Macaca mulatta: one gene and its partners. The protein of the gene in region 1 interacts with the protein of each later gene in a pairwise test. Links are inferred from orthologs where the notes say so. Each region holds a gene or a part of one and is shown in the gene's direction. Other genes may lie near its edges.

Region 1 (3,108 bases):
CCTGCTGGGCTTGGGTACTGGAGCACCTGGATTTGAGGTTTGGGTTTTTCGTTGTGACCTTGAACAAGATATTTTAGTCATATACATATTTAATAATTGGCTCCTCTGTACACCCCCAGCAGCTCAGTGTGGAGCACCCACTGTATACCAGGAGCTGTGTTTCAGGTACTAGAAGAGAGTGATGGGTGAAACATAGGAAACATAGACATGGTCTCTACCCTCCTTGTGTGGGACCTAGGCTGGTAGGAGAGTCAGACTTTAAACAACAGAGCGCCAGGGAGTATGTGCTTTTCATTTGTGACAAATGCCGGGAAGTACAAGTAAGGAGTTGGTGATAAAGTGTAATTTAAACTAAGGTCTCGATGAGTCCAGAGTTCTTCCAGTGAAGGAAGGACAAAAGGAGGGGATTCCAGCTAGAGACAACTGCAAAGAAAGGTCTTGATGTTGAGGGTGAACCTGGGCACCTGTGAAGGAAAGGGTGGCATGAGGTACAGTCAGGGGAAGAGGTGGAGTCCTGTAGGAGAGGGGAAGGACCTGGCCTTGAGTGGTGGTGGGGGGAGGGGCATGAAACTAGATGACTATTAGGTGAACAGGCCGGACAGTGGTCAGATCATACAACAAAACCATAGTGGCCCCTCAGCCTAAAATACTTACCATCTGACTTTTTTTTTTTTTTTTTTTTAAGACAGGGTCTCACTCTCCCCCAGGCTGGAGTGCAGCAGTGCTGTCTCAGCTTATTGCAGTCTCTGCCTTTCAGGCTCAAGCAGTCCTCCCACCTCAGCCTCCCGAGTAGTCGGGACTGCTAGTAGTAGCGCCACCACGCTGGCTAAATTGTGTATTTTTGTGGAGATGGGGTTTCACCATGTTGCTCAGGCTGGTCTTAAACACCGGAGCTGAAGCAGTCCGCCCTGCCTTGGCCTCCCAAGGTGCTGGAATTACAGATGTGAACCACTGTCCCCAGCCCTGTCTCTTTAAAGAAAGTTTGCAGACCTCTGAACTAGCGGGGTGTTGGAATCTTAGAAAGGAGATCTTTCATTGACTGGGCCGCAGGCTTTTCTTAACTTAAACCTCCATTTTCTAGGACCAAGACCCCTGGACCTGGGGCCCAGTCGGCCCTCAGAGCCCTTGCCCGCTCGGGTATGAAGATCGGGCGGATTGGTAGGTGCCCTCCTCTAGCTAATGCTTAGATCTGTTTTGAAGCATCAGCCCCGAAAAGCACATGCTGTGCCCAGTGGATGCGCAGCGGCTGGTCTGGTCGCTTTTGGCAGTTAAGTTTGTTAAGGGAGGCTACAAGTCACCTTCTGACTTAAAAATCTCTCCCTGAATACCTCTGTCACCTTGATGTGAATGTCCTGTTTCATTTGTGAATCTCTGTCCTCCACTGCCTGGTGCCGGTAAAACTGACAAGAGATGAATTGTCCTTTCCTCCGTTCTTGACGGCATTGCAATGAGCATTTTGTGTGTGCCATCTCCTGCATTGTAGGATGTTCAGCATTTTTGGTATCTGCCCACTAAATATCAGTAGGGCATGCCAGCCGTGTGACAACCATAAATGAAGTCGGGGGGTGCCAGCCTCCATTATTAATACTCATGCTTGTGATTTCCTGGCTCCTTACAGCTCCTAGGAAGGGGGCATTAGTTCTTGCCTGCACGTTGTTTCTGTGCAGTTAGTAGAGATGTACGCTGACGCCCCAGGCCAAAGTTCCTACCGTGTCCTACTTGAAGGATAATTTTGTTTTCTTGAGATGGGGTCTGACTCTGTTGTGTGGGCTGGAGTTCATGGCACAATCTCAGCTCACTGTAAATTTTGCTTCTTGGGCAGATCTGTCCAAGGAATCCTCCCACCACCCCACCTCAACCTCCCGAATAGCTGGGACTACAGGTGTGTGCCACCACACCTGGCCTTTTTTTTTTTTTTTTTTTTTTTGGTAGAGGGGTTTCACCATGTTGCCCAGGCTGGCCTCGAACTCCTGGCCTCAGGCGCTCCACCGGCCTCAGTCTCCCGAAGCCCAAAGTGCTGGGATTACAGGCATGAGCCACTGCACCCAACCTTGAAAGATTTTTTCAGACTTTTTTCAGTATCGTTTTACTTAATGCAAAGGAGACAGTTGCAGTTACCCTGTCCAAAGGGTTTTTCCTCTAGAGAAGATGGTGGGCTAAATGTCAGAAGCTGGATTTCTCCTGTGCCTCTGACATCTTGCATACCTCTCAGCCTGTTTCCCTTTCTGGAAAGTGAGTTAAGACCACGTCAGGAAATTCGAGGAACTGGCAGATGGGGCCGCTTCACGTTCACATCCATCTGTTATGTACTGGGGAGTCATTTGGGGAGCAGCAGGATCTGTTGCTGATTGGTTAGGCCATTGGTCTAGGGAGGCCTGGGGGCCCTTCCCATCCAGCTCCAGGCAATGACGCTTTCTCTTCCTCCACACAGAGGACGTCACCCCCATCCCCTCTGACAGCACTCGCAGGAAGGGGGGTCGCCGTGGTCGCCGTCTGTGAACAAGACTCCTCAAAATATTTTCTGTTAATAAATTGCCTTCGTGTAAACTGTTTGAACTCCAGTCTTTTCTCCTTCATCAGGGGCTACTCGGGCATTTGATTTCTTCCTCCTATTTGGCTTCTTGGGAGAAGGAGCCTGAGGAGAGCTGAGATCCTCGTGCTACATTTGGGGTCTTTTCCATGCTACTTGCAGCATTAAGTTGCCTTGGTCATCTAAAGCAGACCAAGGCTTTGGAGACCTCGTTTTGAGTGGAGGTGCTGGTTCTAAAAATGGACCAATTCTTAAAGAGTCAGAGTGGGAACTGTGGATCCAAGTGTAGCCTGAAGCGAAGAGGAGCCTTCCAGACCCATGCCATATATAAACACACGTGGGTGTGCATTCTCCCCCCACACCTTCTGTGCAGAGCTAGGAGCTCACTCTACTGTGTCTTGCTTTTTTTCACTTGGCAGATCTTGGAGATTGTTCCACATCAGTACATAAAGTACATAAAGATTGTCACCCCACAAATACACACCAAGTCCTATTTTCATCAGCGATAAAAAAGAAAAGTTCTTGCTTTCCGGAAACTTGCATGCGGCTCTGAGTACCCAGTGACACCAGATGGTACT
Region 2 (4,144 bases), on another chromosome or scaffold:
AAGCTGCTAGGTCAAACTGCCTGGACTTGAAGACGGGCCTTTCACTTATTAGTGATTGAGTTACTTAAAATAAGGATGATAAAAACCTGCTTCATGAGGTGTACTCTTCACTTTATAACTTTAACCTGTTGCTATTTGTTCTATTTTAGGGATTTATCATTATTTTTTTGAGGAAATTAAAAGAACAGAGATAAAATCCCTGTCATTTATAAAACGCACAGGATAAAAGCAAAAAACCTTTGCTCTGTCGTTTGGGTTCTTCTGTCCATATGTAACAATCTGTTTCATACATGGATCTCATATATGAAAACCTAAATTTTTGTATAAGATACACGAGAGTGGATTTATCAGACAAACGTGTATTTCACTAATGCAAGGAATTTAACCTATCAAAGACTTTCCCTATTTGCTGCAGAAAATTTTAGAAATGCAAGCAATAAAATCAATAATTTTAAAAAATCTTGTCTTTGGCATGTCAAAGAACTTTTATACTTCTAAAAGTGTAGTTATTTGTAGTCAGTGATGAACCTCTCTACACACCTTAGCCCTATGCAATGTTGGGGGTAGAAAACGAGTAGAGATTTTGAGAAATCTTAGGCTAGTTGAAATACTTCTGAAACGTCAGAATGTTGAATTACCATCCCTCTGACTTAGAAAGAGAAATACCAACACTCGGGAAGATTACCATCATAAACAACTTTGGAAAGTTTAATTTGGTCATTGTTTTTAAAATTAGAAATAATGTAAATAAAGTACTGCAACAAAGCATTCTCACAATAAATAGTAGCTATTCCTGTCACTTCTTACAGCGGAGGCCCAATATACATTGTATTCTCATATTTGTGCTTCCTCCCAACATCTAGCGCATATTTGGCCAACATATAAATTTTTATCGAAAGAATGAATGACATCAATGACAGGCTGGTCGCACTCCGGTGGTCCAGGTTAGCCCGTGAGGCCACGAGGAAACTGCGGATAACACAGTGTCCAATTTGCCTATACCGCCTGCTAAACTACAAGTCCCAGTACGCAAACGCCATGGTTGCAGTGCATACTGGGAGAAAGTCTCCAGCTCTTCATTGGCCACGTAGGAGAACCTCCGGTGTGTGTAAAAGCGCGGGCTTTAACGCACGTACGCACGGAAAACTGCGCAGATCTCCTCGTCTGAGTTCCGCGGAACTCATTTTGAGTGTAGGCATTTTAGCCGGTAGGATTTAAGAACAGTTTCATTTCCGGCGTCACCGGAAGCAGCTTGAAAATGGCGTCTCCCTCTTTAGAGCGGCGAGAAAAAGGGGCTGGAAAAAGTGAATTTCGTAACCAGAAGACAAAGCCGGAGAACCAAGGTGATGTTATGTGGGAACCGAAGGCTGGGGTTTGTGGACGTTGAGTTGCGATGTTTTTTTTTCTCATTGCTTGTGGACTTATAAAACCACCTGGAGCCTGTACTGTGTATTTAAGTACCACAATAATCGCTGATAAGATTATTGGCTGGGCCCACAGGAACGACTGGCCGATATGGTGCCACCCACGTGTTCCTAATTCATTCCTTTTGCTAAAGGGTCCCCAAAGCGAAGCCGTTGCTGAATACGTCTTCTGTAAAAGATTATTAAGAAAATGCCGAGGGCGCCGCGGAACCCTGTAGCCTGCAGGGGACTGAAAGTCATTGACGGAATGAGGAATAGGGTGAGGTGGGAGCAGGTAGTTCTGATATACAGGAGTCGACCCTGATAATGGGGTGAGATATGGGGAAAGGAGCTATCTGACATGTCCTTAGCTCTAGTTTGTCAGTAAAGACAGTTTGAAAGATTTATCAATTCCTGTTTGTCAGATTGCTAAAATACTAGACGACACAGCCCTTGCTCTTTAGGTTGTGCTACCTTTTAATTGTTAACTCCTGCGTTGTGGTCTGGTTTTACCCGTTTTCTTCAGTATGAATGACAGAGAAGTCAGAAATAGCCTGGGGATCTGTTCAACCAGGCTCATAGAAGTGTTAAAAACATTGAACTCTCAATTTAGATGCATTGGGAAAGTTTTCAAGGTTTCTTCGTTGTTGCTCATTAAATGATTATGTAACGTACATAGCAGAGGATACAACTTATATATAGTTTAATAAAACCATGCAAGAAACTAGCATTCAGACTGTTAAGTAAAATAGAGCATTACCATACCCCTCAAACCCTTACGTGCACTTCTCAGATCATATTCTCTTTTCCTGTCACAAGTAACCACTCTGAATTGCGTTGCATTCTGTTCCTCTTCTTGTAGTCACGAAGTGGCTTAATTTTGCCTCTTTTTAAATTTTATATACATGAAAGTGGACCGTATGCATTTTTCTGTGTCTTAGATTTAGCTTTGTTTTTCAAACAGGGTGATACTTGTAGGTGTAGTTTTAGTCTTTTCACTGTTATGTGGTGTTTCCTTGTATGACTATACCCCAGTTTTTTTTTTCATTTTACAATCGGTGGACATTTGGATTGTTCCTATTGCTTGCAATTATAAACAGTACTGCTAAAACATCTTTGTACATGTCTTCTGGTTAACATGTTCAAGGGTTTCTTTAGGTTGTGAACATAGGATTGGAATTACTGAAGTGTAGGGTGTGTGTAAGTAATGCTAACTTTTTTCCAAAGTGCTAGTGTCAGTTTTGTTCCCACTAGCAGTGGACGAAAGTTCTCATTGCCTTACATTCATATGAATACATGATGTTACCTGAATTTTGAATTTCTGTCATTTTGGTAGGTATGAAATGGGATCTGGTTGCAGTTTTAATTTGCATTTTCTGATCACCTATGAGGTTGCGTATCTTTTCACATGTTTTGGGCCTTCCTTAATTGTGAAACTCCTGTGTATTTCTTTTGTCAATTTTTTGTCTGAGATTGTAGTGGGAACTTTGAAAAAATTGATCCGTAGCCTTTGAAGTGTTTAAATTGGATAGGGACTTGGTCAGGGAAGCATTGCAAGTAACCAGTTGCAGTGACTCATGCCTGTAATCCCAGCACTTTGGCAAGCTGAGGAGGGGGGATTGCTTGAGCCCAGGAGATATGCCTGGGCAACATGGCAAAACCCTTTCCCTACCAAAAAAAAAAAAAAAACAAAAAAAACAAAAATTAGCCAGACATTATGGCACATGCCTGTAGTACCAGCTGCTTGCGAGGCTGAGGCAAGAGAATAGATCGCTTGAGTCCAGGAGGTCCAGGCTGCAGTGACCTGGGATGGAGCCACTGCACTCCAGCCTGGGTGACAGAGCGAGGCCCTGTCTTAAAAAAAAAAAATGTATATAATACACAAGTAATCACTTTTGTGGAATTTGTGTTCTTTAAAGGACATTGGAGAATCCTTAGACTAGCCAATTGTCTGTGATTTGAACCAGAAATAGAAATAGAAAAGTGGATGTGAGTATAAGCAGAAAGTTTACCTGAGGTTGATAACATAGGGTAATGCCCTGCTTTTCAAATTTTACTGTGCTTAAGAGTCTCCTGTTGAGCATGGTAAAACACAGACTTCTGTCCCTTGTCGAAGAGATTCTGATTCAGTAGGTCTGGAGTGGGGCCCAATAATTGCATTTCTGACAGACTTAACAGTTTATACTGATACTGAAAGTCTATGGAGCATACCTTTTAGTATAACTGAATTAGAGTATAGCTGTTGAATTTAAGGAGTTCTTAAAATTCAGTACCACGTTTTTTAAATACATGATTCAGAAGATAATTTATGGCCCTTAGGCATTTTCTTGTAGTGAAAGGAGTCCCAGGCTGAGTCAGCTTTGTGTTCCCTTAGGCAAGTCACTTAGCCTTTTTAGACTATCTTCTATAAAATGAGAATAATACAGATTCTACCTTTTATAGTTATGAAACGCATGTGGAAATAAGGCACTCAAAACGCTTAGGAAAATCTAGAATTACTCGAGATTATTAACTGAAAGATAAACTAGAATCCTCTTTCAGAAGTTGTATACAAACACATACACCCAGGTTCCATACACTCCAGGAAAGTCAGAAAGGTTAATTGTATTTAAAATACTAAACAAAATGGCATTGAGATCTTCAGTTTTATGGTAGTGTAATGCAGTACACGTTTCTGGAGTGCTCACTGTCTGTCTGGCATATGCCAATTGGCATGAAGAGGGATTCTGCTCTTAAGGAAC
Region 3 (4,094 bases), about 82 Mb from region 1:
TCCCGTCTCTACAAAAATTAACCAGGGCATGTTGGTGCATACCTGTGGTCCTAGCTACTGGACAGGCTGAGATAGGATTTGAGCCCAGGAGGTGGAGGCTCCAGTGAGCCAAGTTCCACTGCACTCCGGCCTGGGTAACAAAGAGATATCTTGACTTTAAAAGAAGAAAAAGGTTGCCGGGCGGTGGCTCAAGCCTGTAATCCCAGCACTTTGGGAGGCCAAGGCGGGCGGATCACGAGGTCAGGAGATCGAGGCCATCCTGGCTAACACGGTGAAACCCCGTCTCTACTAAAAAATACAAAAAACTAGCCGGGCGAGGTGGCGGCGCCTGTAGTCCCAGCTACTCGGGAGGCTGAGGCAGGAGAATGGCGTAAACCCGGGAGGCGGAGCTTGCAGTGAGCTGAGATCCGGCCACCGCACTCCAGCCTGGGCGACAGAGCCAGACTCCGTCTCAAAAAAAAAATAAAAAATAAATAAAAAGAAGAAAAAGGTAAATAAATTATTGTAATTGATTCGAGGTGGCTAATTTTTTTTTTTTTTTTTTGGAGACGGAGTCTCTGTCACCACGCTGGAGTGCTGTGGCGCGTCCTTGGCTCACTGCATCCTCCAACCACCCGGTTCAAGGGATTCTTCTGCCTCAGCCTCCTGAGTAGCCGGGATTACTGGCATGTGCCACCACGCCTGGCTAATTTTTGTATTTTCATAGAGATGGAGTTTCACTATGTCGGCCAGGATGGTCTCGATCTCCTGACCTCATGATCTTCCCGCCTCGGCCTCCCAAAGTGCAGTGATTACAGGCATGAGCCACTGCGCCCAGCACGAGGTGGCTAATTTTATTCTGAGTAGTTCCATGGTAGCAGCAGGCAGTTTGAATTGGCGTCAGAATTTGCTGAGCCCCACCCCTGGAGAATCAATACACTGAGTAATATTCTGACATTCAATTAGCTTTGGAAAATTTTTATTAGATCGTAGTACATGCTGATTTACATATGGCCAGGCATGGTGGCTCACGCCTGTAATCCCAGCACTTTAGGAGGCCTAGGCGGGCAGATGACATGAGATTAGGAGTTTGAGACCAGCCTGGCCAATATGGTGAAACCCTGTCTCTACTAAAAATACAAAAATTAGCTGGGCATGGTGGTAGGCACCTGTAATTCCAGCTACTCAGGAGACTGAGGCAGGAGACTCGCTTGATCCTGGGAGGTGGAGATTGCAGTGAGCCAAGATCGCGCCACTGCACTCCAGCCTGGGTGACAAGAGCGAAATTCCGTCTCAAAAAAAAAATTTTTTTTACATGTTATTGCTAATTAGAAATTTTTCATTTCAGTCGTCAAGATCTTTAAGGGCAGAGGCCAGGTGAGACTCTGCCTCAGAAATAAAAAAAGGAAGGGCACAAGGTGGGCTGCAGTGTGATAAGTAGTATTTCACAAACAGTATTTTTCTGTGGCTTGTCTTACAGGTACACCAGGGGTTGGAAAAACTACACTAGGCAAAGAACTTGCGTCAAAATCGGGACTGAAATACATTAATGTTGGTGATTTAGCTCGAGAAGGTAAGGGACACTTTGGTGTTAGATTTGTTTTGTTTTGTTTTGTTTTAAGTCTGATAGTGGAGTGTTAGTGCTGGGTATTGTCAGAAGGTACAAAAAACAGATTGCCATTAAAGAATATATACTCTTGCCTGTAATCCCAGCACTTTGGGAGGCTGAGACGGGCGGATCACGAGGTCAGGAGATCGAGACCATCCTGGCTAACACAATGAAACCCCGTCTCTACTAAAAATACAAAAAAATTAGCCGGGCGAGGTGGCGGGCGCCTGTAGTCCCAGCTACTCGGGAGGCTGAGGCAGGAGAATGGCGTAAACCCGGGAGGCGGAGCTTGCAGTGAGCCGAGATGGCGCCACTGCACTCCAGCCTGGGTGACAGAGCGAGACTCCGTCTCAAAAAAAAAAAAAAAAAAATATATATATATATATATAGTCTTTTAGGGAATCCACAGAAATATTAAGTGTCTAATGCTATGTCCTGGTTATTTTGAGCATTTTCCCTTCCTCCTTGAAAATGGCTAGCAATTCTTGTGAATAGTTGGGAAGGCTCCTATGAAGAGACTGGATTTCGGAGAGGTAGAATGTGAATAAGGAGAGTGTTTTCAAGTTGAGCAAACAAAGGTTTGGTACTGCTGAACATATATATGAGCACAGTGAGTGTATTGGTCTCACTGGAAAGAGATTGTTTTGAGCTCAGGTGTAGGACATGACTATGCTATGGTATCTTAGTGTGAGGTTTGCATGCAACTGCATATATTCTAAGATGATAGATGTTTTTATTTATTTTACCCTGTTTTCCCCTAATCTTTTATCACTCCCTTATTTGTGTCTTCATCTTTTTATAGTTGACAATGATTTGTACATGGTAGGAACTCAATAAATTAAAGGGATTTTAAGTATGCCTCATTAAAATTAAGAAAACATATGGTTTAAATTTAAAAAATTTTTTTACAGTTTAACATAGATTAAAAAATTTTTTAAGTTCCTGACAGTTGCTACTAAAGTAACTATTTCAGATTGATCTAATGTACATATTTTTTTCAAATGATCTAAAGTCTGATCATCGGATATCATGGAGTCTGGCAAGATGGCTTCTCCCAAGAGCATGCCGAAAGATGCACAGATGATGGCACAAATCCTGAAGGATATGGGGATTACAGAATATGAGCCAAGAGTTATAAATCAGATGTTGGAGTTTGCCTTCCGATATGTGACCACAATTCTAGATGATGCAAAAATTTATTCAAGCCATGCTAAGAAAGCTACCGTTGATGCAGATGATGTGCGATTGGCAATCCAGTGCCGCGCTGACCAGTCTTTTACCTCTCCTCCCCCAAGAGATTTTTTATTAGATATCGCAAGGCAAAGAAATCAAACCCCTTTGCCACTGATCAAGCCATATTCAGGTCCTAGGTTGCCACCTGATAGATACTGCTTAACAGCTCCAAACTATAGGCTGAAATCTTTACAGAAAAAGGCATCAACTTCTGCGGGAAGAATAACAGTCCCGCGGTTAAGTGTTGGTTCAGTTACTAGCAGACCAAGTACTCCCACACTAGGCACACCAACCCCACAGACCATGTCTGTTTCAACTAAAGTAGGGACTCCCATGTCCCTCACAGGTCAAAGGTTTACAGTACAGATGCCTACTTCGCAGTCTCCAGCTGTAAAAGCTTCAATTCCTGCAACCTCAGCAGTTCAGAATGTTCTGATTAATCCATCATTAATTGGGTCCAAAAACATTCTTATTACCACTAATATGGTGTCATCACAAAATGCTGCCAATGAATCATCAAATGCATTGAAAAGAAAACGTGAAGATGATGATGATGACGATGATGATGATGATGACTATGATAATTTGTAATCTAGCTTTGCTGCATGTAACATGTATACTTGGTCTTGAATTCATTGTACTGATATTAAACATGCATGCTGGATGTTTTCAAGTTGTGTTTTAGAAAACTTTAATAATAATTAATGAGTAAATACAGTTACCATACTTTTCAATTGAAATGAAGGTTTTTCATCAGCCTTAAAAGTGTAAGAAAAATAAAGTTGTCATTCATTACTTTGATTGTTGGTGCTTTGGCAGTTATGTTTTTAAAAGCAATTTTCTCCCTGTTGTCACCAAGGGGAGTAACAGTTGACAGTTGCAGCAACTTGCAGTACTGTAGTCTATTGTTGACCACTAGAATGTCACCTCAAGTGTCTTCAGATATATAGATCACAGTATGATCTCTGGTGTATGTCACTCTTGTGATCTGTTCTCTCAGTTGCTGAAGTATAACCATGACTCCTCTTTGGAGAGACTAGTTGGTCAGGATTTTTATTCATAGTGAATTCTTAACCTGCTTTGATTATCTTCCTCAATTGTCCAACTTCCTAGGTCCCATTTTTCTGTCCCTTTGGTTATATTAAGGACCCTTAGTGTCTCCCAGTATGTCTCCACTTTTTTAAAAAAAATTTATCAGTGTCTCTTTTTGCAGGTTAATTTTGAGCATCTTTGTTTTTCATATTCCTGATACTATAAGCCAGTATCATGTTCA

What was found.
Region 2: the proteins of RPS14 (region 1) and KRR1 interact in binary tests that used the Homo sapiens proteins (3 or more experiments, as listed by UniProt). The link is inferred for Macaca mulatta from reciprocal best matches to the Homo sapiens genes RPS14 and KRR1.
Region 3: the proteins of RPS14 (region 1) and TAF9 interact in binary tests that used the Homo sapiens proteins (3 or more experiments, as listed by UniProt). The link is inferred for Macaca mulatta from reciprocal best matches to the Homo sapiens genes RPS14 and TAF9.

What each region holds. Positions count from the first base shown.
Region 1 is NC_133411.1:159,406,379-159,409,486, reverse strand, and holds the end of RPS14 (small ribosomal subunit protein uS11), read left to right. Parts: intron 1-1,081; coding exon 1,082-1,158; intron 1,159-2,431; coding exon 2,432-2,499; 3' UTR 2,500-2,547; downstream 2,548-3,108.
Region 2 is NC_133416.1:82,682,443-82,686,586, reverse strand, and holds the start of KRR1 (KRR1 small subunit processome component homolog), read left to right. Parts: upstream 1-1,223; 5' UTR 1,224-1,258; coding exon 1,259-1,343; intron 1,344-4,144. UniProt on the Homo sapiens protein: Part of the small subunit (SSU) processome, first precursor of the small eukaryotic ribosomal subunit.
Region 3 is NC_133411.1:77,439,679-77,443,772, reverse strand, and holds TAF9 (transcription initiation factor TFIID subunit 9), read left to right. Parts: upstream 1-1,458; 5' UTR 1,459-1,459; coding exon of another isoform or gene 1,460-1,552; intron 1,553-2,600; 5' UTR 2,601-2,617; coding exon 2,618-3,412; 3' UTR 3,413-3,571; downstream 3,572-4,094. Other genes in the region: AK6 (adenylate kinase isoenzyme 6), read left to right, coding at 1,460-1,552. UniProt on the Homo sapiens protein: The TFIID basal transcription factor complex plays a major role in the initiation of RNA polymerase II (Pol II)-dependent transcription.